Linked DNA regions of Mus musculus. The protein of the gene in region 1 interacts with the protein of each later gene in a biochemical or structural test. Links are inferred from orthologs where the notes say so. Each region holds a gene or a part of one and is shown on either strand. Other genes may lie near its edges. The genes, in order: Fgf9 and Fgfr3.

Region 1 (16,186 bases):
CCCTGCCCCACAAAAGTACACCCTAACCAAGGTCATACAAATCCTGAGATTAGCATAAGGACTTACTTCATGCTTTCACTATAAAATGAAATACAGGAAACATTTCACCCACTCTGAGGTCTGTGCAATTTAATTTACCAGGTCAATGAGGAAAGGCATAAAACTAAAAGCCATTCCTGTCCTTTGAGAGGCCACACGATGATCTGTCTCCTCTACACACAGGGCAACTCAGAACTAATATCCCATCAACAGCTCAGCCAGATCCAACAGAGAATATGATTTCACAAAAACTACCTCACTGGCTGGTCTGAAGAATAGCAAGAATAGTAGTAATGACTACAGTAAGTGTCACGTAACAGCCAGAATACTTAAGCATGAGAAGTCCTGTCTTCTTCAGTCTTTAGGACAGTCCTGGGCACTGCAATGTCTTCAGCCCCATAGTACAAAAGGACAATTGAGATTTCCTCAAGTCAATCAGACTGTAAGGCCTGTTTCCTTGGATATTATGTACACTGCTGCAGTTGGCTCTAACTTTTGGGGGGTTGTATCTGTAATTTCTTGCTATTTTTATACACTTAACTTCTGAGACTATTGTTATAAAATATGGGGATGAAAATATTAATATTTTATCACTTTTCCTAGTTATTGATAAAATGGTTAAACTACATATGCTTTCACTTCTTTAGACAGTGACCTATTACTGAGGGACTATATTAACCAACCATCATGCTGCCTATTAAATATAAAAATATGAAAGAGATATGTAGTGGAGGCCCTGCCTCCTGCTCAGTGGTAGTCATTCACTATCTGTGGAGAGACATTCCTTGCATGCCTGAGGCCAAAGCACCCCAAACCCTATTTATACTGTTTTATCCTGTACATATACACTCATGACAAAATTTAAAACTAGCCCCCGTAGGGGGTTAATAATAACTAATAAAAAATAGAACCAGTATCAGATAGTGTAGTAAAAGGTGTTTAAACTTTTGAATTATTTCTGCAATATTCCACTTAACATTTTCAGACACAAAGCTAACAGGGGAAGGGGCTGCTGTAATGGGAAGAACAATGGACAGAGCTATGGTGCCAGTGTAGCTCACACAGTGGGAGGCAGATGTGCAGGGAACAAGAGGGCACAAGTTCAGTGGTTTGTTCAGGTACAGACGAGCAAGCCAGGGGAGTATCATTTAAAAAAAAAATCTGAAATGGGTCTGGGGCGGTGTCCCAGCAAGAAGCAGGACCCAGTGACCCCAGGGGGAAATATTTTGTCACCTCAAACCATTATCCATATCCCTGAAGTTCCTTTAGAGTAGGAAAAAAAATCCAAATTTTTATGAGGTCACCCCCATAACTCAAGGGCAAGCAGAACACCAAAATGTGTGAGTCATGGTCTTTCTCCCACACCCAGAAAACACCAGTGTGGTAAGGTCAGGGAGACCTGGCAACAGGGTAACCAGACCCCACCCCATCCAGACTGGAATCGTTATCATTCCTGGTACCACCTTGTCCACAGTGAAATCTACAGTTCTGTGCTCCAGCAGGTCAAGTCCTCAGCTGGTGCCAAGCAAGTGCCTCCAACTGCCGTGAGGTCAGAGCACTCCTTACACTAATCTGTTGACCTGTGTGAAGCTGAGTAACCAATATGGACAATACTAGATCAATGACAACCTGCGAGACTCTTCTATAGAGATGGGATGTTTCAAGATCAAGGAGAGAAGAAAAAGAAGAATAAAAAGAAGGAAAGAGGAAAAGGAGAATAATGGGTTAGCCTAAAACCAACATTTTGGCCTCTCTCTCCTAGCACACACAACCTAGATGGCATAGGCTCAGAAAGGCCACAGTAAGGAATAGTAATTGGGTTGCAGATCCTTTCACTTCCTCCATAAAGAACCATTTCTATAAGGACCACTCAGGGTCTCGTAGAGGCTGATAAGGCAAATGGTCACACACTTCTTCTGGAACAGTCCCAGATTAGGTCTCCCTCCTCCCAGTCTCATTAACCCCTGTGTCATTAACCACATGTTAGTCCACCCTCCTAGAATCCACTTATGCTGTGCCTCACCTCTAAAGCCAGCCATAGGAAATAGGAGAGCTGACAGACAGAAGCTCTAACCCGTGCCCTCTTCAGATCAAACAACAAAAACATACAAAGCCAGTATTGTCGGCTTCGTTGACCACCATAACGAGATCATAGAATCTTACAATTTGGCTACAGGACATAGAGAATTCAACCTCAAACCAACCAGGAAACTTCTATTCTACTGGCTAGTTTTCATGATGATAAAAGGGGTCATACAGACCACTGGAGAAGAATTATCAATGGTATCGCCCTCTATGCTACACTACTACAGACCTGCCAGGTAAGATGATCCCACGAGCACAATAGTGGTATAACCATTATAGGAATAACCAACTTCTCTCTGCTTGGACTTAAGGCATGATTCACAGGAGAGAATTCACACCTGATACTGTAAACCTAGTCAAAAGCCTGTGACTGGCACTTTCACAGGCCCTGGGGTAGAATCTGCTGTGGTGATTTTGCTAAACTATCCTGTTGTCAAGTTGCCTTTTAAATAGTCATGTCTGTACTTCCTCTCACTTTGGTTTCTAACCAAGGCTTCTTTTTTGCAATGGGAAACTGTTAACTGAAACTGGGAGACTCCTAATTAAATTGCTTAGAATAAGTGACTATGGATGCTCATCCCTAAAGGGGAGGGACATCTATATCACCGCCACCTTCTCCAAAGTTCAGAGAACACCTGGAAAAAGAGGGTAGAAAAAAATATCAGAGCAGAAGACTACGAGGTGCACTGTGAGACAAAACATGGCTGTCACACTCAAGAACTAGTAACAACTAAGGTTACATGCCCAAGACTTGCACAGGATCAAGCCAGTCAATGCCCCAGCATGGATGAGAGAAAGGCTTTGTAACCTCCCACACCTGTGGGGACTTGGCCAGTTGACAGTGCTAATGGAGCAAGAGCCATTTTTCTTTGAGGGTGTGGCTGCTGATAGGTTGCCCAGGTTTCATTAGATAGCCCCATCTCCAAGAGTGTGTGTGTGACTAACTAGACTCAGAAAGAGAAAAAGGAGGCAGCAGCCACAGCCCCCACCATGAAGTTATGGGACCTGTGGAAAGCTTCCGGGGCAAGTCGGAAGAGGGAAATAAGAGGTAGATATGATCAAAATTCATTGTATAAATATATGCAGTTATCAAAGATTAATATGCAACAGCACAGTGGAGTAGCCAGTGGTCCAGCAACTCCACAAACTAAGGCAGAAGGAGCTTAGCTCAACAGTTCCAGGCTAGCCTGGGCATCAGGGTTACTCCGGTGACTATGTTGAAGAAGAAACAGGAAAGTGAAGAGACTTAGGAGGAAGTGAGAAGAAATGGGGCGAAGAAAAGAAACGGTCCAGATTCTACAGAGAAATACCGCATGAGGCTGTCAAAAGACAAAGGTGAAACTGAACATGGTGATATTGGCCTGTAATCCCAGCATCTGGGGGCTGTGGAAAGGTGGACTAGTAGTTCGGGGCTAGCCTGTGCTACTTAAGACCCTGTTTCAAAAGAGGGTGGAAGGGGTGATTGAGCCCCTCTCTTCCACAGCTTCCTGATTATGCACACTAGCCACCTGGGGCTCCAGGGGGTCTAGGAATACCTGAACCAGCTTGAACAAAACTAGGTTCCCTTAGGAAGTAGCAGTTGAATGGATATCCAAGCTTTCTGCAGTAAGTTCAAAGGCCGCTCTGAATTATGAAGGCTTTTCTCTGTACAGTACTGAAAAGCCAAGGCACAAAGAGTTGAATTTTGTCTTTTTCTGCAAAACCCTGAAAATAAGGTTTAACTTTGTTTTATTATTATTATTTTAATCACGCCAGTATCTTTCTCCCACCTAGTACCACCAGCATCTGAAACCCTACTCCTTTAACAGGCCAGGTCCTGCCCCTCAAATGGCTTACCAGCAGTAGTGTCAATCTAGGGTTCTAATGCCTCTTGAGTCACCACCCCTGAGGCCAGCAGGTAGGCCTGCTTCAGCTTCCACAGGCCCAGCGTTCACTTTTTTTCATTACTCTGCACTGCCTACTTTATTTTTGTTCATTGTCTTAACAGCTATCAAGGCCAGAAAGCCCTTCCAAGTGAAAAACTCACACTTGCTTCCCAGATCATCACTCAGAGACAGGACCCCATGGTCCCTTCCTCCCAGCTCCCATCACCCCCAAGGAAAAACAAAGGGCTCCTCAAGGTCCCACCTTCAACTCCCCGGCCCGGCTGCAGCCCCAACAGCGCTGAGATTCCCGCACCCCCACATCCCCGGCCCGGGCCGCAGCCTTGCCCCGCCGAGCTTGCCAGCAGCGGCAGTCACCTGCGGCGGCTCAGGGGCGGCAGAAAGCATTGGCCCAGCACGTTTCCTTCTGCCTTTCCTTTTCAGGTAGAAAACGCACCTTCTATTTTAATCGAGGTGTAAACCCACCCCACCTACAGCTACTCTAAAACCCAGGGAGAAGTCGAAGTCCCCCGGGAGGAGCCAAGGAGGCGCGGAGGCCATGGCTGCGGGGAGGGGGTGGAAGGTGAAGCGGCAGTGGCGCGGGCGCCAGGTGCGCCCCGCAGCCCCTCCGCCCCGCCTGGCTCCGGGCCGCCAGGTCCTAGCGCCGCCGTAACTCCCTGCGGGCGGGGCTGAGGAGGCAGGGCGCGGAGGCTCCCGGCACACGCACGGCGCTGCAGAGGTTGCTAATATTGGGACCTGCCGCAGAAGCAGCAGCGGGAGACCGCGGCACTGCTGTCACCCCGGGGGCCCGCTTCTCACTGCAACCGGATGAAAGACTTAAATAACCCTCCTTCCCCACCCCCACTGCGCACAGCCGCCCACTCAGCTCCATCCGAACGAGGGTGAGTGGCACCGCCAAGAACCAGGCGCGCCCTTCCCCCCGCGGCAGACACCGGGCCGACCTGCTATACTTGCACTGGGGGGTCCCCAGCATGGGCCGGGGCTTCCGCTTCCCTCCTACCAACACCCCCCCCCCCCACACACACACACACACACACTGTGCGGAACCAGAAAGTAGAGATGTCACTTCCTTGGCGACACATTCTCCAACCTCTAGGATCGGGGCGGGGTGAGGAGGTTGGGGCTTTTTGTTTGATAGTCTGGGTTCTGCGGCGGGCGGTACCTGCAGTCCTTCTTCGCTGACCCCTGAACGCGCGCGCTCCCCGCCCTTGCATCCTAGCACAGATACTCAGTATCTGATGTATCAAGTGCGCGTGGCAAACGTCCTATCTTAAAGGTGACTACTGCATTTTTAAAAAGAAAGAAAGAAAAGCTGGGAGGTGGGGGCGAAGGTACGTGGAGGGGTCCGAAGTGTGAGGGCTATCCAGTGACCTGGGCCCAGTTCTGAAGCACCCCGGGTTGGGACCGGGAAATGCACACAATAAAGGTGGCTTTGGCTGGCCGCAGCGCCCCTGCAGCCCTGCGCTCCGAGTGCAGCCGGCCTTCTGCTCCTGTGAGACTAGATCCGGATGCCTTCCCTAGGCTAGTGGTTAACAATAGCATGCCACCCCCTGCACCGCCTGCGAGGCCCTTTGTCACCCCCACCCCCACCCCTGCTACTGTGGCCTCGCCTGGCCAGGGGCCCCCGACCCACCTCCCAGACCCAGCGGAGCCCTAGGACTCTCCCAAACCCTGCTGCGCGCTTCAGAAAGAAGGGGGTGACCCTGCGTGAGACCGCAAAGCTCAGTTCCAACCTCCAGTCTGTCCTCGTCCCCGCCACCAACTCTCCGGCTGCGGTGCGCACCTCCAGCGGTTCCCACACCGCACACCACCACCGCGCTTCCTCGGGCGGCGGCTGTCAGCGCCACCAGACCCGCACTCACACACAAAGAGAAAGCAAGGGGACTGGACAGGGGCAAAAAAGAAAAGTCGGACACCCGACACGCGACCAGAAAGGTGTCGGTCCCTGTCCTCCCTCCCCTGAACCCCAGCGGTCCCCGCAGTACGGAGGGGCGCACAGGAGCACCGTGGAAAGGGAGTTAGAACCCGAGCGCTCTTAGGACCGCGCGGAACGAGAGCGACGCGGGGCCGGGGGCTGAGCCCGCACCTGCCGGCCCGGAGCGCGGGAGGACCGGGCTCCAGCTGCCCCGGGCATCAAGCGGGCTGCCCGGGCATCAAGCTGGCTGCCCTGAACCCTAGGACACTCGATCCCCGCCGCCACCGGCCTCCCGCTGCTTGGCTTGCTCCAGAAACCCGGCTCCGTAGCAGTCCTTAAGGTGGCCAACTAGACAAGCACTCCAGTAAAGTTTAGTCTTCCCTAGCGACAGGCAGGCAGCAGCGGCGTTTACTTACGGGGTGGTGGGAAGATAGTTAGGTTAATCAGGTTAGCATTCGAAGGAATAATCGCAGCAATGAGCTACACTTTCTGTTTTTAAGCAGCGAGGGGGACACAAGTCAAGTGGGGAAAATTGACTGGGTTCACTTTTGAGCCCAGCCTCAGTAGTGAGCCAAGGGGGAAACCCTGGGCCTCAAGAATCTAGACTATCTTCATCCAGGCCTGGACCCTCCTCACCTCCCGGCAACATCCACAGACCATGAAGCTAAACACCTAGTTTAGATTTCGTTCAACATCTGGCATTAAGGCATGAGGAAGAAAAATCACCACAGGACTTGGTTTTACGACCTAGTCTAAGTGTTGTCAGGTGGGTTCACTCAGGAGTTAACTCCTTCCAACAGTCTGGTTGCCCAAACTGTGGATTTATTTTTTCTTTTTTTTAAATAAGGGGAAAAACCTAGATTCCACACACCCCGCCCCCGCCCCAACGCCAGGCAGAACTGTGTTCGCTGACTTAGCACTGCACCACTGAAGGTGCCCCGCCAGGCACGTGTGTGGAGGCACGAAAGTGGGCAGAGTCCCCACCTGAGTCTGCAGCCTTCGGTGCTGAGTCACAAGTACCCTGCTCGGAACGTGAAATCTTCGGAATGCCCTTTAAAATGAGCCTGCAGCTTTTGCAAGCGCACGCAAACACTCACACCAGAAAGCCACTCAGGAAACCCACACAAGGCTACACGCTGTGGAAATTAAAAAGCGGAGGTTGGGAACCAACGGATGGAAGAGCCGGCACCCCTAGTGGGATTTCCGCCCCCACTCGGGTCAGTTTCCCCAGGGGCTTCTGCCCCGGATGTTTCGGATCTAAAACACGACTTCAGTGCTTCCCCCAGATCACCCAGCAATCTTTGCCTGAGAGATTTCAGACCAGCCACCGGGAATAAACGACACGCTTAATTTACAATTCAGGCAGAATGCTTATTAGAGGAAAAGGGAAGGGAGAAAAAAAAACTTAATTTGAGCAAGATACCAGCTACCTACAGGAAACTGGATGCAGTTTAAAGTTCTTAGTGGTTAAAGCTTTAAACTAATGGAAATGGGTCCGTTTAAAAAGAAACTTCTTAAACCTTATCGTCTCACATATCAAATGAAAAAACTTGGGCTTTGGGTTATATTCATACTCACACTCACACACCCTCCTTTAAGAAAAATAAAGAAGAAGAAAAAGAAAAGAAGGGCCTTCTGAGGGTGAAGTTGCACCAATGCCAGACGCAGATCTGCAATTCCGGAGGCTTTTTCCCCTCCCTGGGCTGGCAAGATACTCAAAGATGTGGGGGGCAGGGGTTATGAATATGAGAATATAGCCCTTCGAGCATCCCCGCCTAACCACCACCTTTCTGGTAGTTAATAATCTGACCGTGTCAGCGCGTGGACAGTGAGGGGTTAAAGGCATACCTACCGAAGCGGCTGTGGTCTTTCCTGGTTCCCTGGATAGTACCGTTGGGGAAGATCTCTAAATGAAATCCAGTCCTGCAGTACAGCTGCCTCCGCCTGAGAATCCCCTTTAAATGATCCAAGTCCGTGACTGCGGGGCCCCGGGGCAGCCCCCCTGCTTCGGACTGACCCAGGTGGTCACTTAGCAACACCGGACTGTCCACCGGCAACACCGGTACGTTCCCGAACGGTACCGCGTCCTGCACACCGAAATAGCTCCCAACTTCACCTAAGGGAGCCATCAGAGGACTCGGCTTTTAAGCACAAGAATAAACAATAATGATGGTATCAACCAGGAGACACTAGGCGAGGTATATCCAACTCCCCTCCCTTGCCGCAGTTGCAGACAGAGAGGGAAAAAGGGTTCTTTTCTTCAATCCATCCGATGCATAAATAAAAGTAATCGGCTGTTTCTCTGGCACAGGTTCAAGGTCAAACCACTGATAGTCTAAGAAGCCACCACTTTATACTCACACACTGACATTGATCAACACAGCTATGCATCGCTACATATGGAGCCTCGACTCTCAGCAGGCAGAAAGGTCTTCATCCCATCCGACCGTAATAAGGGAAAAAAATCCGTAGTTTCTCCATTTGCTTAGAGATCAGAATGACCATAGCAACGTAAGTGCCTGGGCGATATTACAGGGATTTTTAAGATGCTCGGGCTACGTCAGAATTTACGGATCCTGACTCCAGAAAGGCATGCGCTGTTTTTACTCTCTAACCGACTCTGCAGACATCAGCATGAATCCTTCAAGGGGAAAAAAAAAATCTCACGTTGGCGGCGGCGACAAATCTCTCCTCCCAGTCCCTCCTCCAAAAAATAAAGATAATATAACAAAAAGAAGGGGGAAAAAACTTTCGGCGTCCAAAGCTAGTATCCAGAACGCTGCAGAGGCTCTGCGGAGGTCCAGCGGCTTGCAGTGAGGCGAGCGGCAAGCGGCGGGCGAGGACCGCGTCCCGGAGCTCGCGTGCTGCCCGGGCTGCCGCGAACAGGTGTCGCCGCGCGGGCCGCGCAGCGCCGTGGCCGCGGAGCGCTCCTCCTGCGCAGCCCCCGCCGGCGCGCAGAGTGGCGCAGGCGGCGGCATTGGGCCGGGTTTAAGGTAGCGCGGCGGCCGCCCCGCTCCGCCCGGTCCTAGCGCCCGCCCTGACGCTCGAGCCGCTCTGCCGCAGGCCGGGCACAGGCGGGCAGAGCGCGGGACTTCTCCGGGAGGACGACCTAGGAAACCCGGCTTTAGAGACGCCGGAGACGCGGTGCCAGAGACGGGAAGCAGCAGCCCGAAGACATTCGGCCACAAGAAATCTAGCTTGCTAGAGACGCAGGGTCAGAGGGGAACTGAGAAAGCAGTTTTCGCGCGGACTCTGTAACCTTGCGTCGCATTATAAAATAGACTGGGAGGGAAGGGTTGGTGTAGGGAGCTTGGTTGGACAGGGCAGTTTCTCTTTCATTCTACAGCCAGACTTACAGACGCGCAAACAATATTGCAGGTAAGACAGTTGGGTGTGAGTCAGATTCTTCTCTCTCTCTCTCCCTCTCTCTCACTCTCTCTCTCTCTCTCTCCCTCACACACACACACACACACACACACACACACACACACACACACACACAAAACACACACACTGGTGGGCCCACACTCGGGTTTGTTAAGGGAATTCTGGTTCGCATCTTTGAGTTGTTCGGGTCCTGCCTCCCCCCAGGTTCCCGCGGCTAGGAGCAAAGGGCACCCAGGGCGCCTGAAAACAGCCCCTGTCCTTGAGTTCGACTCACGCCCCAGATCTGAGTGTGCGTCTTCAGGGAGAAGGTTCCAATGAGTTCTCTCTCGCCCCCAAACAAAGCTACTCAGGACGGGCTTTGCCACCTTGAGCTCTACTTTGCCTGGAAGTGAAAGGCTCGAGTTCCAGGGTTGCTCCATGGCCCGAAGCTCTCTGCATAGCCTAAGAGCCAGACAGGAGCCGCCGGCTGGGCACGGGCGCTGTTCGCTGCTCAGGGCTCGCTCGCTGCCGCGGGTGACTTGGAAGCCGGAGCTCTGGTCCCGGGCCAGGGCTTTTGCTCGAGGCCAGCAGCCTTTGAGCCCAGCCCCATGCAGGGACAAAGAAACGCACTGCCCAGGGCAGCCAGGGGCAGGGGCCGCCGGTGGCGCTGTACGCGCCCAGCCACCAGCCAGCACCCCGATCCGCTGAGCGCGGCGTCCCCAACACAAGCACTGTCTCCGCAGCCCGCCCGAAGGCCTGGTCGTCGCCCCCCCCCGCCCCCCCCCCCCCACGCTCCTCTTTGTTCACATTGTCTTAGACTCTCGGGTCAAGATGGTGAAAGTTGCTAAGACTTGAGCGCAGCTCCCGACGGCGTGCGAGAGGGAAGCAAAGTCCAAAGACCAGAGCCCTGCAGTAGAGAAGCAAATAAAAGGCTTTTTTCTGGGGGAGAAGTCAGCCTATGGCGGCGAAGCCCTGGGGCTGGCCCTACTCCGACCAGAGGGTTTCGCCCCAAAGACGGAGGAAGCAATGAATTTGCAGATTTCGCTGGCGTTGGAGGTGCCCATCCCTGGAGCGACCTTCCCCTGCCCCCGGGATTAGAAAGCGTGCTCCCGCAAGGCCCCAAGGGAAAAGAGTGGGGCCAGGTGACCCTCCCCTCTGTCCACTCCCACACCTCTTTGCCGCAGTCTGGGGTCATCGGGAGTCCGGGCACTGGCTTCTTGAGTCTGGCTTACAAGTTTCCACTGCAGAAGAACCCTGCTGTGTGGTATTTACAGCAGTCTCATCCACGGTGTTAGAGAGCAGGCTGTAACGCTAACTGCCTAGTGGCAGATACAAGAAACTGGGAGGAAGTGACACTTCTCATAAACCATTAGAGTAGCTCGCATTAATCACCCCAAGTCGCCAAGGGCCGTGGATTAAGCAGGGGCGCTGCCTTTGTACCCTTTGGGTACAAAGTGCCAGGTTGATTTTTTTTTTTTTTTTTTTTTAATGGTAGAAGCGATCGAGAGAATGAAATGCAGACAGGAAGGCACTTTGTAAAAGGATGGAGAACAGGGCGCAGACATTTCCTCCAAGGCAGTTTTTCCACCAACTGTCTCCAACCAAGTCTTTTCGGTCTGAATTTAGCCTCTTAGCCTATGAGCAGAGATCATTTCCGCCTTTGAGTCTTGAAGCATCCTGTCCCTTTAAAAGTGATGCAGCAGTAGGAGAGAGTAAAGTAGCTGACCCAGCACTTTTGTTGGTAGAAACTGCAAGCAGCCCTTCGCATCTCATTCCCACTACAGTTAGTTTAGCTCCTTTCATCTGCATCCCTAACTCTGCCTGCAAGCTGCTTTCCTGACTCCCTGCCTCTTTGCTTGCCCATCAGGTTTCTTTGCTACTTACATTTGGTCCTTTCCCTACACAGTGATAGAAACGATGACCTTGCTGTTTCCCTGACCTTATAACGTTTCTTTCCAAGCAGTCAACGGGCTCCCATGGCAAAAGGTTTCAGGATTACTTCAGAGCTATACCATAACTACAGACTCCCCACATTCAGCTTGTAGGATGTTTTTACCAATACTCTTCAATGACTTACAACAAGATGGTGGCTTTGCTTTCTAGACACACATGGTACAACTAACTAACTGGCTTCATTACACCTGCCTGGATGACTGACTTTAAGAGAAAAAAAAAAATGCACATGAAGCAGGCATAGACAATAGACGCTCAAGCCAGCTGCCCTCGCCATATCCTTCCTCTTTGTATAGCCCTTAGTGCATTTCTGCACATTGGGGTATTCAGTAGATTCTAGTGGATCCCAATCCCCAAATTCTCTAATGCTGTCTCTCCTCCAATGCCTTAATCCTCTCGTTTCTCATTTTCCCCCTTTACCTGTGTTTTCTATCAGGATATCATTTGTCTTTTCTGCTATCACGTTAGTGCATGGACCCAGTCTGGGATAAACAATGGGATGTCAGGGAGCCTATAACAAGGAATAAATGCCCCAAGCATCCACAGATCTGCATCATGGCATCCAACATTCTACCTATGCTCACTGTGGTAAACAATGTTCCCCCCACTTCGTGGGTCCCCATGAGTTGCTGTGCACCCTGGCTTAGATACACATATATAAACATGACCATAAGTCTTCCACACATTTGAAGCAGCCATTAGTTCTCTTCACCTGCCCTTCTTTTGTCCATTAATTGGTGTGTCCTTTGTACATATGTACACTCGAGCGCGCGCGCGGGCGCGCGCGCACACACACACACACACACACACACACAACCAATCAGCACAGAATCCTTCCATTCCCTTCCAGTAACAATGGCTGTGTAACCAGGTCACAGCCCTCCATTTTCTATTCCCTCCATTCTCCCAACCCCACCCATACCCTTCAAGCTACTAATGGCACTGGGTGAAAGGGGAATGGTTTGGGTTCCCAGGCTGACCTCATGGAAAAGTTTCAACTTGGTAGGCATGGAACCATTGCAGGGAGGCCTGGCTTGCTTCCAGAGCTGCAGACATTCCAAATACTTTTGTGCTTTAGCCATTTTATTCTCAAAACTGACTTCGTGGTTACTCTCAAAACTGATTTCATGATGTGAATGCTATTTTGTTGCATTTTTCCAATGAGAAGATTGTGGTTTGTGAAGACTAAGTAACACACCCATCACCCCATTGCTAACAAATGGTGAAGTCAAGTTCGTACACCTCAGAGCTACATGGCACAACAATGCCATGTATTATAAGAGACACACTCTTGCAGAACATTTGATGGCACATACCTATACTCCAGCCCTCAGGAAGCTGAGGCTGGGCATTGAAAGTTCAAAGCCACCCTGTCCTATACAGCAAAACCTACCTCAAAAACAACCAAAAGTAATCTGGCAAGTGTGTTTTTACCAAATAAATATTCATGAGTAAATAATTAGCACATGTACTTAACAGCCTGTGGTTCTGAGTATGTAACACAGTTAGATACATTCTATAGACCCCAGGTAGGGAAAGGACAAAAAAATAAAAGAGCACAAGAAGCATATGAAGAAAGGTTTTTAAATCTCCCTATAGACACAAAACATTTTTGAACAAATTAAAAGATATAAATAATATTTCTAAATAGAAACAATCTCAATTTTGAAAATATATAATCCTTCCTAGAGTAATTTAAAAGCTTAGCATGATTACGGTAAGAGTAGTATCAAATTCTCTTATTAGCTACATTGATGCTAAAGATAATCTAAAAGAAAATTCACTTTACACATTTTTTACCAAGAAAAATTGAGAGATTAACTGACTATAACTATAAGTACCCTACAATAATTTCAAATATCTTTAAATTCCAGTAGATAAAACAGAATTATAATATAAATAACCAGATAGGACAACAATAGTCTACACATTTTTTAATCTGAGTACATAGTTGAATTTAATATAAGATAACTAATAAGGAAAATAAACTAGTGAGTTCTGAGGGAAGGGAAGGGGGAAGACGTGAGTTTTCCTTCACACTTGAAATGAGGTCAGAGCTCAAGTGGCGCTCAAGTGTAAATTTAAATTGTCACAAGTGCTAAAGGAAACAATGGAGACCTTCCTTTACACTCTGAATGGTAAAAGCCTTTCTAATTGCAATCCAGAGTTCAAATGCCTGAAAAAAAGAATGTTGAAAAATGCAACCACACACACACACACACACACACACACACACACACACACACAAGTAGCTGCAGAGGAGGAAACAAAATTCAAAAGAATGAAAGGTAAAATAAAATAAACTTTGTATATCAAGTTGAAGACTAATTTTCCTGTCTATGAGCAGCCTGTAATTGATTAGGGAACACACAGCCTCTGCTGGACATGGTGGCACATGACTGGAATCCCAGCACTGGGGAAGTGGAGGCAGGGGGTCAGGAGTTCAAGGCCAAACATAGCCAGTTCAAGACCAGCTGGCTAGAGGAGACCCTTTTTCTTTTTCTTTTTCTTTTCCTTTTTCTTTTTCTTTTTCTTTTTCTCTTTTTAAAGCTTTATTTATTATTATATGTAAGTATACTGTAGCTGTCCTCAGATGCACCAGAAGAGGGCATCAGATCTCATTACAGATAGTTGTGAGCCACCATGTGGTTGCTGGGATTTGAACTCAGGACGTTCAGAAGAGCGTGTTCTTAACCACTGAGCCATCTCTCCAGCCCCAAGAGACCCTTTTTCAAAAACCTAAATTATAATAGAAATGGCGATGATGATGATAGTGATGATGATGATGATGGTGATGCTGCTGATAGTGATTAAAATAATAATAACAACAATAATGGTCTGATGTCTAGTCTGATATGTGAGCCTGGACATCATCACTCCTGTCCACAAAGAAAAAAAGCTGAACAGACTGAAAAATCAAGAACTCATCTTGAATACTTAGAGAATTGAGGTCATGAGGCAAATTGCTGGAGAGCCAGGCAGACATCAAGTCACTGCTTCCAAAGCAGAGGAGAGCGGCAGCAGCCACACCTGGAGCCCAGTGAGTACCGTTACTTCAAGTTATAATTTCTGAAGGTTCGGTGTGCGTAAGTGTGAGAGTTTAAAAAAAATCCCAGGGGCACACTCTCAGAGGACCCTCCCCCCTTTCCTGTAACTCAGATGACCCTCCCCCCTTCCCCAAGTTTATTTCCAGAAGTTTTCTCAGGTTCCCACTGTGAAGACCTGAAAAAGAATCCCTCCTACTTGCTTTGGAAGAGAGAGTACCGTTTTGGAATACACTCAGAGCTCCATTTTCCTGATCCCAAGGAAACTGTTTTTACCCCCAGCCTGTCTAAGTGGGAGGAGAGATACCCAACTCCAACATCTCCTGCCTTCAAAATGCCACTGATTAACAGACCAACCTAACCATAGTAATGCTTAGCGCATCCCTCCTCCATACCTGCCATGGTTGTCATTATCAATTTGACACAATCCAGAATCACCTGTGAAGGAGTCTTGATGAAGGATTATCTACATTCAATTAGCATGTGGGGTTGTCCTGATTAGGTTAATTCTTGTGGGAAAGCCCAGACTAAAAGAGGGAGACACTGTTCCCCGTGTTTGGGTCCCAAACTGCACAAAAGAGAGACTATCAACTGAGCATGGACGTGTTTGCATCCTCTCTACACTAGATACTCTCTCTCTCTCTCTCTCTCTCTCTCTCTCTCTCTCTCTCTCTTTCTTTGTGTGTGTGTGTGTGTGTGTGTGTGTGTGTGTGTGTGTGTGTGTGTGCATGTGTGTGTAGTTGCTTTATGTTCCTGCTGCCCTGGCTTCTTTGCTATGATGGACTGTGACCTGGAATTGTGAACTAAATAAACCCTTTCTCTGCTAAGTTGCTTTTGTCAGAGTATTTAATCACAGCAACAGAAACAAAACTAAGGCCCTGCTTTTCTGCAGGGGTAAAAACACTGAAAAGTACTGGAGAGGAAAGGACGGCAAGATTTAGGTCTTATATTAAATGATTTCTAGCTGAGGCATATTAATAATGTTTAAAACATAAAAAAGGCAGCCCACCGTCTGCATGATGCAGTTACATCACTTCTCAACCCCAGCAAATGCTAAGCAGTGTTCAATAACGACCGTGGAGTCTGGAGCTGGTTAGACTAGCAGTTTTGCCCTTCCCAGTACATCCTTCCAGTAGTTAACCTCAAAGAAAAGTCTTCATCCTTGTTTCCTCCATTCTCAGTTTTCCCCAACTTAAGCTTAATCTCCACTCAGGCTCCACTGGAATATCTTATTGGTATCTGCTTCATTTGTCTCCAACTCTGTGTGTTATATTAGCGCTGTTAATGAGGTCCAAAAGCTTAACAACACTTCTGTCTAGATGTGAAATGTCCTCATAAACAGGGACTTGCTTACCAGAAGGAAGGAAGTGCTGCTTCCATGGGAGGCCATGAAACTTTGAGGAGGCGGGACCTGGGTGAGAGAGGTAGGCTAGCAGGAGATTTCTGTGTAGGTCTTGGCTTTCTGATCCCTGGCCTGTGAACATATGCATAGCCACAAACCAGTGTCACCCCTGGCCTTTCTGTATACTAATCTTGAGACTAGGAGGTACAACTTTATGATAGATTGCTTGCCTAGCATGCACAGTGCCCTCAAAATGTCCCATCCACAGTTCCATCCGCAGAATGACAAAAAGAATCTTTCTTCTGGCTTTTCCAAATGTCCTGTGTATTCTTGTTCTCCATAGTCAGCTTACTATGCGTTTCACAGTGTTATTATGGTTATGGTGTTTAAAGTCTTGTACTTTGTTCTCTATTAATTTGTTCCATGCTCTGCCTGTGGCTGGGGTAAACTGAGGCACCTAAATCGCAGAGAATCCCTGACACCAAGTCATTTAAGCATGTGTGCAGCAGAGAGGTGGGAGGGGGCCCTCCCAAGTTCTCCCAGGGCCTGGTATAGCTCT
Region 2 (15,441 bases), on another chromosome or scaffold:
AGTACAAAAGTAACAAAATTGCATTCACCACTGTCTCCCAAGCTTTGAAAGGTAGCAGTCTAGGCTATAAAAGTCTAGAAGCACTGCATAGGAAGTGTTAAGCCTACAGCAAAACAACTTGTAAAAACTCAATAAATTATAGATAGATAAACTTGTAACAGATAACTATTAACATCTGAACCTTCTTGCAGGGCCAGCCCTTCCCTGGGCACAGGCTCCTGCCTGGAATACATAGCAATTAGAATAATCTGTATGAAAAATACCAGTTCACCTTAAAATTTTTAAACATCTCCTAAAGAAAGTTCCTATATAAATCTAATCCCCCACAAAAGAGGGCCAAAGGCAACAGAAAATGCTCCCTGGAGCCAGCTCTGACTAGGAGAGCCATTCAAGCGCCAAGGGGCCACGGCCAGCCTGGTGGAGGCCAGACGCACGTTCTCAGCAATTCCCTAAATCCAGCATGAACCTCTTCCGCTGTTAATAAGTTACAACTTAAGATGGCTGCAATACCCTGGGACTAAACGCTATGAACCTGGGGTCGGGGACTGGCGCTCTGGGGGTTGATAAATAGCTTTACAAATATACAGGTCCAGTACAAACAAAACTGCCGTGCCAGAAAAGCCCCTTGCTTCTCAGCCTGCTCTTGCCAGTTTCCTAGTGAGACCCATGGAGTATCTTGCTCCCTTGGGCCTCAACTTTGCCTTTTTCCATATAGATATTCTTATATATATGTATGTATATATTTATATCATACACAACATCTATTTATATAAATGTACATTTTCCTCTGGAATAAACCTTTCTGATAGACATTATGCCCCCCCTTCAGGTACCCGTAATTTGTCTCTGAGGGGCAGGGTGGAAAGCAGGCAGCCTGGAGATGTCGAGCTATGACACCCCCAGGCACAAGGTGCCATGTAGGAGAGAGGTTTGCCACACAGAGCAGAGCCTCCCTGTAGGCTCAGCTTGGGGCACCAAGAAGGCCAAGGCCCACTCTGGACATGGAGTCTAGCCCTCTCCACAATGGTCCCTGGAAGGTAGCAGTGGGAAATGAGAGGGCCAGAACCCCAGGGTTGCACAGGGTGGGCCTCTTACATTCTTGTTTGGTGCTCCTGGCCCTGGCCAGTCAGGAGATTACTCTACAGCAGTGCATGTTCCCAAGGGGCCTCTGCACCCAGGAGCCAAGGATAAACACGCAGGAAGTCTTGTCTACTGTTGGCCCATTGCACTGGGCTGGCTAGGGTCCACTGCACACCAGCAGTAGCAGGGCGGGCTAGGGTCCGCGTAAACATTGCCTGGGGCTTGGTCTGTGGGACTGTTGGCCCTTCACGTCCGAGGTCCCCCGTTACTGGGTGGACCTGGGGGTAGCAGGTCATGGGTGAACACCGAGTCATCTCCGGACGAGCTGGAGCTAGGCGTGTCCTGGCCACCTGGCGAGTACTGCTCAAACGGCACGGAGAGGTCCAAGTACTCCTGTTTGGTGGACATGGTTGTCAGGACTGTCCCTTTGCATTCACCCCCTTTTATCCCACGCCATCTGTGTTCAGGCTATGCCCCCTAAAGGCCAGCCCCGCCACTGGAGCTCCAAAGAGCAACACTTAAAATAAGCAAGGCAGCCACAGAGGGGGCAGGACTGAGGGACACTTACGTCGGTTGATGTCACAGTGAGGATGCGGTCTAAATCCTCTACCAACTGCTTGAAGGTGGGCCTCTGTGAAGGCACCGCATGCCAACATTCCCGCATGATCATGTACCTGCGGCAAGTATAGCTATGGCTCCCTGGCCTCCTGCCCACCCCAACCTCCCTCCAGGCCACCAGTCTCCTACACATTCCAAGGGCCCTGGTAGGAATCCTGCCACCCCAGGGACTGGACTGTAGAGGAATGAACAAGGCTCACAGGTCATGTGTGCAGCTGGCTGGCTTGTCCATGCGGTGGCCCTCTTTCAACAGCTTGAAAAGCTCTTCCACTGGGATGCCAGGATACGGTGAGCCCCCCAGCGTAAAGATCTCCCAGAGGAGGACACCAAAAGACCAACTGCAGGGAATTGAGGATAGAAGGCCTGTTACCCCTGGCCTGTTACTGCAGCAGCCCTGTACCAGGACATACCACTGATGGGCAAAGCAGGGCACTAGGATAAAGAGAAGCCAGGGCTGTGCTGGTGGCCCAATGAGCGGACCAGGACCCTGAAGACTGCAAAAGTGCAATTTGTATCTCTTCTCTCTTCAGATCTCCCTACCCCCATCCTATGTAGGGACACATACACATCACTCTGGTGGGTGTAGACTCGGTCAAAAAGGGCCTCTGGTGCCATCCACTTCACAGGTAGCCGGCCCTGGGCAGAGGGAGAGGTGTTGGCTCTCGGGTGGGGCCTCCTGGAGGGACCCTTCACCCCCACCATGCAGGACCAGGGCTCACATTTGTGGTCTTCTTGTAGTAGTCCAGGTTGTGCACATCTCGAGCCAGGCCAAAGTCCGCAATCTTCATCACATTGTCCTCGGTCACCAGGACGTTTCTGGCAGCCAAGTCTCTGTGAATACACTGAAGAGACAAAAGGAACCTGAGATGACCATTCCCTAGCTCAGGCAAACGATCACCCGGTCTTCCACTCAGAGAGGCTCCACCTGGCCTGGTCCCTGTCTCTGCCCACCTTCTGAGAAGCCAAGTATTCCATGCCCCGTGCCACCTGGTAGGCACAGGACACTAGATCCTTGCAGGTGAGCTGTTCCTCTGGCAGCCTGCAGGCATCAAAGGAGTAGTCCATGCCTGGAGGCCGCCGCGCCCGAAGGAACTCCCGGAGATTGCCCTTGGCTGCGTACTCCACCAGCACATACAGGGGCCCTGGAAGCACAGGCACCTTAGAGATGCTGTCAATCTCCAGAGCGCCATCCACCAGTGGGCCCACCAACCACCTGACCTACCACCCTGTGTGCACGCCCCCAGCAGGTTAATGATGTTCTTGTGCTTGCCAATCATTTTCATCATCTCCATCTCAGATACCAGGTCCGACAGGTCCTTGTCAGTCGCATCATCTGTGCCGGGAACAGAGGTGTCAGCTGACAGCCCCACAGCCCTCAAAGGCCCCTCTACTTCCCTCCCTCCTCACCTTTCAGCATCTTCACGGCCACGGTGACAGGCTTGGCAGTACGGTCCTTGTCGATGCCAATAGCTTCTGCCATGACCACCTGTCCAAAGCAGCCTTCTCCAAGAGGCTTACCAAGTGTCAGCCTGACCATGGAAACAGAGGCAGTGAGTGTGTGCCCAGCACCCCCAGCCCTCATGGGTCATGTACCACTGTATCTCAGAAACCCTAGGGGCATTTGCTCATGAAGACAAAGAATGACCCCTCAAACCTCACCCTGGAGTATCTCGGGGATACCTCCAACAAGGCCCTGCCTAGTAGCTACCTAGCCCCCAACCGCAGAACCCCCACCAGGTATATACTAAACCCCACCAAGTACATACTGTCCCTCACCACCACTGACCGGGTCCTGGATAGCTCCCACTTGGGGTCAGCAGGCAGCTCAAGTTCAGAAACATTGGCCAGAACAGGACCTTCTCCTGAGGACAGCCGGGCAATCCGGACAAGGGGTGTGTTGGAGTTCATAGAGGAGTTAGATTCCAAGGACACCTGCTTGGGTCATCAGGACAAATTGGTACCATACAACGTGGGTGGGCTGGGCATTGTAAAAGGGGTGGGGTGGTAGAGCCTCCAGGATGGCAAGGTCAAGCCTATGAGGCAAGGTGTGGAGCCAAGAAAAGGGCTAGCTGCTCGGACTTCTATACAGTGGTGACTTAAGACTCCTAAAAATGTTTTGCACCTCAGAGAAAACCTGAGCTCCATATGGAGATAAGGAGGCATCAGCCCACCCAACCACAGAAACTATGTCCCGGGCAGGCCCCAGGCCCTGCTGGGACTCTAGGAGACACGAGGCAGGACAGGGAGCTCAAAACCTGGTATCTACTTTCTGTTACCTGTCGCTTAAGCGGGAAGCGAGAGACCTTGTGCACGGTGGGCGAGCCCAAGCCCTTCTTTGGGGGACTGCGCAGGCGGCAGAGTATCACAGCTGCCACCACCAGGATGAAGAGGAAGAAGACCACCCCGTAGCTGAGGACGCCTGCGTACACGCTGCCAGCCTCATCAGTTTCCATCAGCTCCTCCTCAGCTGCAAAGATACAAATTTTGGGGCCTCATCCAGCCTTTTCAAGCTTTCCCCCGGCCCGGCCGGAACCACAGGCCCCAGTGGGGGAGGGAAGGGACCTGGGATACTTGGAGAAGAGGGGCTGATGGCCCCCCCACTCGCCTTGTAGTATAATCAAAACACATCTGAGAGCCAGCAGGGGACACGCCCAGGAGAGAAACCCAGCAGAGCCAGAAGCACCCACACCGCTACCCAGGCACCCAGGAAATGCCAGAGCCTCAGATCAGGACTATGGGGGGCCCTGCTAGAGAAGAGGCCCTTGCAGGACCAAGACAGGCAGGGCAGATTCATGTTTCCACACCAAGCACAAAGCCTGGGTGAGTTTCACAGGATGGGCCCCCTGAAGTCCCTGGCAGCTTTGGCATGTCCTGAGACAGCACCCTAAGAGGACAGGTGCGGCATGAGCAGCAGCAGAAGCCAGTACCTGGCAGCACCACCAGCCACGCAGAGTGATGGGAAAACCCAATAGAATTGCCCGCCAGGCAGGTGTACTCCCCCGCGTCCTCAAAGGTGACATTGTGCAAGGACAGAACCTCTAGCTCCTTGTCGGTGGTGTTAGCGCCTGCAGTCTACAAAGAGAGAACAGAGCGCGATAGGCGAGTGCCAGCACCTCCCTTTGGGTACCATAGCAGTTCACATGGAGATGATCCAGCCAGGCTGCAAGGAAAACGCCGCCGCCACCACCACATCTTCGGCCACCACCATGGCCCTGCCACAGCCACAGAGGCCCAGGGCCCTCTGCCTCCTGCACTGAGGCAACCGAGCCTGAAGCCAGTCCCTCCACCAGTGGCGAGTCCTCTGTCCCAAGGTGAGCAACAGGCAGGTGGGCAGCACGGTGCCACACAAAGGCAGCATGCAGAATTAGTGCAGAAACAGGAGAGATGCAGACGAAAAGATGGGCCAGACAGATGGATGGACAGGAAGCCAGAAGGCATCAGCCAGCTGGAGATGGGTGTAAGGTCGATGCTCACACACAACGCAGGACGTGGCCCCTAATAGGCTCTACAGATCTTCTGAGTATGCAAGTGGGGGATGCAAGAGAACAGCACAGGCCTTTGGGGAGGGGGCGCTGAAGCAAACAGTCAGTCAGTGGTAACTGGGGGCTACCAGTATTGTTGAGGCATCACAAGTAGAGTTGGAGTCACAGGCAGGGTCAAGCAGGGCAGTTCGTGCAGGGCATGCAGGCAGGTGCACGGCTGGGGGCATTGAAGCTGGAGCTCAGCGTGCCAGGCAGGCATGGGACAGAGTCGTTACCTGCTTGGGGCCCGTGAACACGCAGCCAAAAGGCCTTCTCAGCCACGCCTATGAAATTGGTGGCTCGACAGAGGTACTCGCCCCCGTCCCGCTCCGACACATTGGCCAGGCGGAGGCGTGCGTCTGCCTCCACATTCTCACTGATCCAGGACTGCGGGGACAAGAGACTGGGCTCAGGCACACCCCGAGCCAGCTCCGGAAGGACGGAAGGATGTGAGGATGAGGCAGGGCAAGGGAGATTCCCAAAGATGGGCTGGGCAGCAAAGCCTGGAAAGCCGCCTGGAGAGGAGGCACGTCATGGCAGTGGTGGGCGTGGTTTCAGAAAGAGGCCTTCTCTCCATGTCTGTCACCACAGGTACACATACACGCTTACATACACGCACACACAGAGAACGGAGGAGGCGGGGGTTGGGGGAAGGGGAAGAGAGAGAGAGAAAACCTGTAACCCACAGCCTCTAAACTCTCACCCCAGGGATCTTTTTAGGGCAACTAGCTTATTCTCGTGAACATCCACGCCCACAGTGTGAGACGCATCAGACAGGACCCCAGTGGCCTCTTTCTCAACAGCCAGGGTTCCTGTTCCAAACAATCCCTATTCCTTTCCCCAACCAGACCTCCTTGTCTCTCAACAGCTGTTTTCTTTGGGCTTCCAGTATCGCAAAGTCCTGAACTCGGGTATGGAACTTGCTACAGGCAGAGGGAGGGGCAGGACAGAGCCAGTGCTAAATGCAAGCAGATGACACCAGCCAATCCGGGCCAGCTGGAGAGTGTCTAGCCAGTCCCCTGGGGTCCAGAGGGTACTAACTCAGCAGTCATCCTCCTGCCCTGAGCCACCATAACTGTTACCCAAGAGAAAACTTCTGCAGGCTCAGTCCTCGGAGCAGACAAGTCCCACAGCAGGGCACAAGTAACACAGAGCCTGCCTAGAGCTCAGAGCAGGTGACATGCACTGGAACTAAGCTGCCCCTTCTCAGAAGTTCCAATACCTTGGTAAATCCCAACATATCCTTCAGCCAAGAGGGACATATGGGCCAAGGCCAGGGCTGACCCAGCTGATCCACCCACCCTGCCAGCCACCAGCCGGGGATAGAGCCTACCTTGAGTACAGTGACGTAGGGCGTGCCGTCAGGGCCCACCTTGCTGCCGTTCACTTCCACGTGCTTCAGCCACTGGATGTGTGGCTGTGCATCGCTGTACACCTTGCAGTGGAACTCCACGTCACTGCCTAGAATGGCTGTCTGGTTGGCCGGCAGCCCAGCCTGCAGGATGGGCCGGTGTGGGGAGCGCTCTGCAAGAGGCAGTCAGGTCAGGGCCAGTAGGGCCAAGGGACCCAGAGATGCCCCTTGCCTTAGCCACCCGGCCTGGCCCTCACCCAGCACATCCAGTGTGTATGTCTGCCGGATGCTGCCAAACTTGTTCTCAACTACACAGGTATAGTTGCCACGATCGGAGGGTACCACACTTTCCATGACCAAGCTCCACTGCTGGTGCCGGAGCTGCAGGTAGTTAGTCTGTGAGTAGATGCAGACTATCCCTTGTCTCCAGCCCCTGCCCCCAGGCCCCTTTCTTTCCCAGACCTACCTTGATGCCCCCAATGCGATGCTCCCCTCGGAATTCTTTGCCATTCTTCAGCCAGGAGATGGAGGGGGTAGGGTTGCCAGCAGCTGGGCAGCGGAAGCGGACAGTGTTTGCGGCTGGCACAGCCAGCAGTTTCTTATCCATTCGCTCCGGGCGAGTCCAATAAGGAGCCCCTGATGGCAGAAGTACCCATAACAGCTGTAACCAGTGCCTTCCAGAACCTCCCCTGCCTGCCTCTAGCCTGTTTACCCTTCTGGATTCAGAGTCCTTTGCTTTGCCTGAGCCTGGACACTGCATTACCAGTTGCCCTACTCTCAGATCTGAATTTATCTCCTCCTCACCCTTGGGTGCAGGCCCACAAGTGGAGGTCCCCAGATCCCAGTAGGATGCAGATCCTAGAAGGCCTAGGCCAGGTCATCCCACCAGTCTGCAAACCCCAAGCCAGCCTCTGCAGTACCCAGGGCCTGGCCTGCTTCCTTTAGGTCGCGCTTTCCCCCCACTGAGCGCTCTGGTTCCTCTGGGCTGGGTGGAGGAAGCCACCCTGCTGGGACTCCTGAAACAGCTGAGGGACAGAGCAAGGATCCAGGACAGACTAGGGAGGCAGGCCCCTTCTGCAGTGACCTCACTACACTCTACCATAGGACCATGTGCATCTGTGGGTGGAGGAGCCACAGCACAGGGGGAGAGAACCGTCTGCATACGCTGGTGAGGGAACCCTCCATGCTGAGCTGCCCTCCCAGGCTCCCAGGGCGGCCATTAGCTTGGCACACTCAGCGACGGCAGTGAGCCAATGCTTCCCATGCCCAGGCAAGGTCCAGAAGATGACCCTTTAGTCACCTCAGAGCCGAAGCCCACGTGGGGTGTGTAAGCACTAGATGCAGCCTGGGAAAACCAGGGAGGCAGAAGTGGACACAAACTCAGGGCAAGGCCACTGGTAACATGGCTGGTGCAGGAGCCAGGGGAGGGGAAAACTGGCTTAGAAATTTTGCTCTCAACAACCTGGTAGCCAAAGGGGAAAGGGAAATGAGAAGCCAAATGACTCCCCAGGACAGGAGCCTCTGTTGGCGTCAGTGCTAGGTTCCTGTGTCGATTCCACTCTAAAATCTCACACAAGCCCCTGTACCCACTCTCCTTGCCCCCACACACCAGAGACTCAGTCCTGTTTTCCCACCAATTTTTTTTTTATTCCACTGGAGGACACCTTGTCCACTCTTCCCCAGAAGTCTCCAAATGGCCCAAGTACTCAGTCTGCATAGACACACACACACACACACACACACACACACACACGTCCTCTTCACAATGTACACCTCAGCACACACAAGCACTGTCCCCTCCTGCCGGCCTGAACCAACAACCACCAGTGCCCTTCATCCCTGGATCTATTGTTCCTCAGCAACAATCTGAGCTGCATCCCTGGCTATCCTCACCCCTGTGGTGCCCCGTCCTACTAGAGTCAATAGCAATGTCCCTGCAGACCAGCCCTGCCTCCTCCCTGCTCCTGGAGCACTGTCCTCTGGTCTACCCACCTGTAGCAGTGTTCCCTTCTAACCACCAGAGAGGCATCCCGGCCCTGACCAGCTCAGTGGCCATAGACTCTAATCTCACCTGTGTCTTCAGCCACGTCCTCCCCATCTTCGTCATCTCCTGAGGATGGAGCATCTGCAAGTTCCAAGTGGGGGTTCTGTGATACCCCTATATCCAAAGACCTGCTGCTTCCCATATCTGAGGTCCACCACTCTCATACCTTTAGGATCCTGCCTTTACAAGGCCATTCATTCAGATGGCACCTACTTAGGGGTACCCCCTCCTTTCTATCAACAGCTATCAACATCTTAGGCCAGGGATGCTGCAGCCACCCAGCCCAGGAGTGTCCTGATCTCCTTGGCTATACAGCTGTTTCACACACGTTGCAGCACCACCCACCAAGCACTTACCTGTTACACGCACACTGAAGTGGCACAGCACACGCCGAGTGAGCCGGTGCTGGCAGCTGTAGACCCCTGCATCTTCGTGGGAGGCATTTAGCACTTGCAGCCTCTGAGGCCCCACCAGGATGCGGTGGGAGGCCACCAGACCTGTACCATCCTTAGCCCAGACCGTGGGCCCTGTGGGGGCACCTCCAGGAGGATGGCAGCTCAGCTCCACGGTGTCCCCACTGCCGAAGGCCACCTGCTCCTGCTGGCTAGGTTCAGGCCCTGGAACCTCTGTGGAGTAAATGGGACACTATGAAACAGGGTCTCCAGAGAAGCATGCTGGAGACCCAGCACTTCACTTTGCAAACACACAAGCAAGGGCTGTATGTAGGCAGGTGAGGGATGTGCTCCTGGAGCCTGGGGGCCTGCCAGACAATGTTCAAACCAGGGGTGGAAAACTGTTTTCGTAAGAGCCAGTGGGCCCCAGCATCTCAGCTCTGTCAATCATGGGCTAAGGCTTCTGGCTCTGCCCTACAGGAGGAAGCTGTCTTCCCAAGATGATCTGAAAGAGGCACAGCCCTCCTGATACCTGAATCATCTTTAAAGTGCCAAGAAGGGTTTCAGACAACTCTGTGGTACAGCACCTACCCAGAATGCCTGAAGCCCTGAGCTCAGCCCCACACCACGAAAAAGTCACCAATTCTCCTTCCTCTGATCCTTCCACCATTTGGAAATGTAAAATCAGCCCTAAGCTCACAGGGAGGCACAAAAGCAGGTTGGAGACAGGCTGTCCTTCCCTGGACTTTGGCTCAAAGCTCAGAGAAAGAATAGGGAGCCCTTTCAGAACCCTCTTTGCACCCAACCCTCATCTTGGCTTCTAAACCAGTTTGGATAGAGAGCCAGGGAACAGAACATACTTTAAACAGGAAGAGAAAGCTAGGTATGGTGGCTCATGCACTCAGAAGTCTGAAGCAGGAGAATTGCTACAAGCTCAAGGCCAGCCTGGCTACTGTCTTAAAAACAAAATCAAAATAAATGGAAAGAGAGAAGACAACATGAGGTCATACAAGAACATGGGTGAGCAGCCCTTGCTGGCATACACCCCTAGGGCTGCTGTTCATAGGAGTTGTGCACCTCTTGAGACCAAAGTATACCAGCTAGGGGATGCTTGGACAGTCCACGCCTTGCAACACCCATTTCACAGATGAGCCAGCTAGGAAAACATGGACACCATTCTGGTCTCTTAGGCCTCTAGTCAGTGGGCTATGAGACTCCTGAGTTCACAGGTTGGCTGAGGACATGGGACCCCCATTTCACAAATGAGGACTGGGGGGAGGGGGACTGTCTGAGTGGGCATGTGAGCCAAGTAGAGCCAGCCACCCACCCTGAGGGCTAAGGAACTGAAGCAACATAGCTCCTCCACTAGGCGGACACAGATAATACACCTCTGCCTTGCCCAGGTGCTGCCCAGCTCATGCGGTGGCTCAAAGACTTCACCCTCAGGGACGTACCACCAGCTGGGCTATCTCCTCCAGGCCTCCCTGCCAGAACCTGACAATGCCCATCACAGGGCGGCTGGGCTTGGGGCCCAGGACAGGAGTGGGTGGTCCTGCTAAGCAGACCTCCTTCCTCAGATCCAGCTGGACTGGCTATAATGTCACTTGTCATTCCGCCGACGCATGGCCTAGATTCAAGGCCCAGCTGTCCACTCTGGCCACACCAGTCCTTAGGCCCAATTCTGTCCATCCCAGAGACAACCCACAGGCTCAAAGTCCACCAGGATTCTGACAGACAGAGGGAATATCCCTAAAATATCCCCAAAGCTCATGTCCTTCAGAGCCCCACAGTATTAAGCTGCCCTATGGAGGTCCCATAGCCAGGGGCCTAACTGTCTTGACTTCCAGTTCTCCAATCCTGCTACCATGTCCTATGGGGACCACCCAGTGCTGGAAGCCACTTGAGTTCTCCCTCCACAGAAGGGCAAGGACAGGCTGGTCAAGAGCCTCAGTCCAGGCCTTGGCCCAAAGGCAACAGCCAGTTGGTTCCAATTTGGTCTGGGCAAGACAACCGCTCAAGCCATGCACACAAGTATTTGCTTTAACCGAATCCAAAGAGGGACTGGAAAAGAACATGGCAGCTCCCAAACCAGACCCTTGGAGAAGCAGATGGCTGGAGGGGAAATGTTCAGTCAGCTCAAAGAGCTAACCTTTGATCCACCCATCCATCTTGTCCATTAGGAGCTAGGCGAAACCAGACACCTGGACTTTGGGGGCCTTGGGTAACAACATCTACCAACAACCACCATTCTAGGGTCACAGGGCGTAGAGGAAATTATGACCTGAGTCAGGTAGGGATAAGGGAAGGACAGTGCTTGAGACAATGCAGAATATGTAATATTGTATTCTGAGGCAGTAGAAGCAATGCCCTGGTCAGAGGAACTCCCACACCATCAGCCTCCAGGTGTGCACCAGTAACTCCCTAGGCCCCATCAACAAAGGAGCCAAACGCAGCACGCAAGCACTGGTACTTCTGTTGTGCCCTTTAAGAGGACAATGTCCCTACCACATGGATCCCATAGCACCTATCCCCATTGCTATATGGTACTAACATGGACCTAGGTACTGTAGGCTCACTGTTGCAGGCTAAGGGACACTGTATCCCAATCAAGTTGTGCTGGGCGTAGAGCCTCCTAGATTGTCTCGGTTTCATCCACTACAGCACAAAGTGCAAATCCCAACTTGCAGACCTAAGGTCCAGAAAGCCCTGGTTAAGTGTCTAAAGTCTGTAAAAGGGGTGTAGGAATGAGGGGTGCCTATGCAGAAGCCCCCTGAGTCAAACAATGGAGTGAGACCACAGCTGCCCAGCTGGAGGAAGGGCTGCATCCACTGCCTGGAGGAGCTGACAGCCTAGGTTCTGTTGTTGAGACGTACGTGCGCACTACAAAACCAGCATCAAATCCAACCCTGGTCTGAGGTTGGTCACCCTAAAGAACTCGACTTGGACTTTGGAGCAAAACCAGGACACAGATCTGAGTGACACCTGCTTTGATAGTGAACACAGCTGGTGTGGGAGGTATGGCCAGGTGTATGAGGAAAATAACCCAAGAGAAAGGAGGGTGCCTGCCCCAAGGGGCCTTGAAGCCAAGGGTCTCTTGCCTGCCTTCCTCCTCCCCATTCCCCACCATCCCACCTTGAGACATTCCAGTTTCCACAGTTTATTATAAAAGTCAAGAAAGGAAGAATGAAAGAAAACTCCAGAGGCTGGGCGGGCTAATGAGGGCTTACCGGGGATTATCTGGTTTAATCCCCCCAACAACCCTGCCATTACCAGTCCTCTGTAGCAGGACAGGTGAGGAGACTTAGGTTCTAGGAGAGGACCCAAGCCGAGGCAGGCCCCAACCCCAAGTGGCTTTGTTCACAGCTCAGTAATTTCTCAACCGGGCAGGCCACCTCTATCCAATACATCATCTACCCCCTAACACACCCTGGGTAACTAGTTTTCCTTCTAGGCCCAACTACAAAAGGGGGTGGGGGGAGAGTTCCAGGTCCCAAGTAAAACCTGAGACCTGGAGGACAAGGGGATTCTAGGCTCAGCATAGGAGCCAAAGCTTCAGGGTCTAAGATCAGCCCAGGTTAATGAACCACTGGGAGGGCCAGCAGGGCTCAAAGTCCAGCCTTGCAAGCAAGGTAGGGTTGGGGGGAGACAAGGAAGGTGGAAGGCCCTGCTTCTGCAAGCCGGCCTGGGGGTCAACTTCTGGATCCCCTAAGGGTTACTGTCTCCCACACTAAGCACACCAGCAGGGCTTGCCTCACCAAGGGTGGCCAGGTTAGGCCGGTACCTAGCCCCGCCGCACAGCCCTTGACCCCAGCCAGCTCCTGCTTGGTAATTTATGTTCCTAGGGAAAGCGCCAGCCCGGACCTCTGTAAACTTCACCAGGTCTTTGTATTTTTACAGCCCGGCCCATCTCGTTAAGGAACCGGATTAAGTTTATTGGCCTATCAATTCCCTACCTGTCTCACAAGCTCAAACGCAGAAGCGAGGGGCGGGCGATCCCACCGATCCCGGGCGGCCCGGCTCAGCTTCGGTTCCCGCAGCAGGGTCGTGCCAGGAGGCCACCGTCACTGCCTGAGGCACAGAGAGGGTGTGCGCTCCGCCCCGCCGCCCCTACCCGAGCTCACTGACACCCGACGCAAGAAGTAATATCTTCATCTGAATACACATGCTAATGTGGTCTCCTCGCGGGCCATTCGGCACCCGGGAAGCAGGGCAGTCCTAGCAGGCGCTAAAAGCGCGCGCTGACCTCCCGACCGCCTCTGTCACGCCGCTGAAAGACACGCACATTCAAGTTCCCGGCCCACTTTCATTCATAAAAAAAAAGAAAGAAAGAAAGAAAGAAAGAAAATGACATTGTTCCAGGAGGCTGCAGCCGCTGGAGAGAGGGGCGCGGGGGCGCCGGGAGGGGCACACCGCCATCTGCCTCCTCCCGCTGCGCCCGCCGCACTCGCACCTCCCCGAGAGGCCGCGCCGCCATCAATGCGCGGTTTGTGGCCGCCGAGGTACAAAGGAGCGGCTGTTCGGGCCTCAGCTCGGGTGGGGCGACAACTTACCGAGCGAAAGCCTCCCTTCGCGCGGCCTCCCGCCAGACCGCTGCTCTGCTTTGCCACGCTGCCACCGGGCACAGCCGGGGGCCGCGCGCGTCGCACCTCCGGGCAACCAAGGGACGCAGAGCGGACCGTGGCTCCCTTTCGCATCCTTGGCCTCCGGGCCCCGTTTGAGGGCATTCAAGTGTCCCATCGGACTTTGGTGGCCAGCGGGACTACCTAGGCGGCGCCAAGATCCTGGGACAACCGCCCCTCATCTCCCAGCGTGCGGCCTGAAGGGCAGTCTGTGCGCGCCCCTGGGAACCGACCCCTCAGGCCGCCTACAGGATAAGAGGGGAGCAGCCGCACTGAAGCTGTCACCTTGTCATGCGAAACCCTGAAGCTGAGCTTTGGCTGGGATACTACTATCCACCCCGCAACGTCCAGCCTTCCTTTAGCTGAAGCAGAGGAAGAACTGTTCCGGGAGAACGGCTGAATCAATAACAGGCATTTTTCCTCCTCTCAAATTCGAGAAGCAACAATAGGAATCGTGGGAAGTCAGCTCGCGCGCCTTCCCAACGCCCCTCTGCCTGGGACCACCGTCACGGGCACCGGTCCACGTGACGCCTCGCACTTGGGTGGTGGCTCCCAGCCTACAGACACCCCTATAAACTGCCGCGTCCGAGCTGACAGCGATCTGCGGGGCAGGGGACAAACCTCGGCGCACTAGCCCCTGTGGTGCTAATCAACCCGACGCCCCTTCCTCACCCAAGGGCTGTTCACCATTGCCAAAGCCCCTGTGATTCAGGGCCGGCCCCCAGAAGAACACCTTGGGTCAGTCCTTACCTGCCGCTCTCCGCACAACTCGCTGCTCTGGACCAGGAGGCTCGGAAGTAGCTCCAGCCACGACCGCCACGCAGAACACTAGCACGCAGGCCGGGACTACCATGGCTCCAGAGCGGGGGCCGCGGCGTCCTCAAGCAGCGCGCGCGGGCATGCTGCAACCCCCCACGCCCGGCTCCGGCGCCGGTGGGAGAACGCCTCTGTGGAGACTACAGGAGGAGAGCACTGAGTTACTCCGGAGGGCAGCGGGGAAGCGCGGCCTCGCTCCTGAACCCCGACCCCCGGCCGCCCCGCCCGCCGACTCCTAGCTCTCTCCCGGGCTGCCTGGCGCCGGCCGCCTCCTCCCAGCCGCGGTTCCTCCCTCCTCCTTCCCTCCCTGGTTGCCGCAGAGCCCTCCCAGGACGGAGGCAGTAGCCGCAAACTTTCCAGAGCGGGAAGCCCGCGCCTTGCCCCGGCCTCGCCGCACTTACGAACCGCTCCACTTCCCGCATATCTCACCCCCTGACTGCTTCTGAGCCCGCCCGGAACCTCCGAGTGCCAGCCGAGTCCTTCACACTAACCTGGCGGCCGCTAGAGCCCAACTCACCACGCGCGGCTCCGTCTCTCGGCCCGCTTTTCCAGGGTCTCCTCTGTCCCAGTGGCCGGCCGCCCACCACTGAGTCCCCCCGCCGGAGTGGATCGCACGGCGCCAGCTGCTCCCGCCACCCCCGCTGCCACAGTGCACTGAACTGGGGCTGCCCGGCGCGCAGCAGCCCGGGCGGGGGTTGGGGGGTGCTCCCGCCACGCCCCGAACACTCCCCTTCCCCGGCGGCCAGGGGGCGGGAGATCCGAAGAGGCGTGGTCAGGCGGGGGCGCCGGGCGGTCCCAGAGGGCGTGGGAGCCCAGCTGGGGCGGAGCAGGCGAGGCAAGGGTCGCACGCTCGACCCCTTGAAGCAATGCCGAGCTCAGGACTGTCTACCAGCACGCTTCTCCCTCCAATAAAGCTGTGCTCAAGGGCTCAGAAGGTTGACTTCGGTGGGGGTCTAGGTGTTAGGGCGTCTTCACAGTGAACTGGCCCCCTGAGCTGAAT

What was found.
Region 2: the proteins of Fgf9 (region 1) and Fgfr3 form a complex in vitro, tested with the Homo sapiens proteins (3 studies listed by BioGRID and IntAct, with this or other methods). The link is inferred for Mus musculus from reciprocal best matches to the Homo sapiens genes FGF9 and FGFR3.

The regions. Positions count from the first base shown.
Region 1 is NC_000080.6:58,064,921-58,081,106, reverse strand, and holds the start of Fgf9 (fibroblast growth factor 9), read right to left. Parts: upstream 8,422-16,186; 5' UTR 8,052-8,421; coding exon 7,775-8,051; intron 5,588-7,774; exon of another isoform or gene 5,222-5,587; coding exon of another isoform or gene 5,170-5,221; intron 1-5,169.
Region 2 is NC_000071.6:33,721,446-33,736,886, reverse strand, and holds the start of Fgfr3 (fibroblast growth factor receptor 3 isoform 1 precursor), read right to left. Parts: upstream 15,164-15,441; 5' UTR 14,959-15,163; exon of another isoform or gene 14,933-14,958; intron 14,582-14,932; 5' UTR 14,479-14,581; coding exon 14,376-14,478; intron 13,116-14,375; exon of another isoform or gene 12,960-13,115; intron 9,241-12,959; coding exon 8,971-9,240; intron 8,696-8,970; coding exon 8,642-8,695; intron 7,207-8,641; coding exon 7,037-7,206; intron 6,952-7,036; coding exon 6,828-6,951; intron 6,744-6,827; coding exon 6,553-6,743; intron 5,607-6,552; coding exon of another isoform or gene 5,456-5,606; intron 4,771-5,455; coding exon 4,626-4,770; intron 4,166-4,625; coding exon 3,975-4,165; intron 3,634-3,974; coding exon of another isoform or gene 3,631-3,633; coding exon 3,485-3,630; intron 3,228-3,484; coding exon 3,106-3,227; intron 3,032-3,105; coding exon 2,921-3,031; intron 2,841-2,920; coding exon 2,650-2,840; intron 2,541-2,649; coding exon 2,418-2,540; intron 2,335-2,417; coding exon 2,264-2,334; intron 2,037-2,263; coding exon 1,899-2,036; intron 1,755-1,898; and 4 more.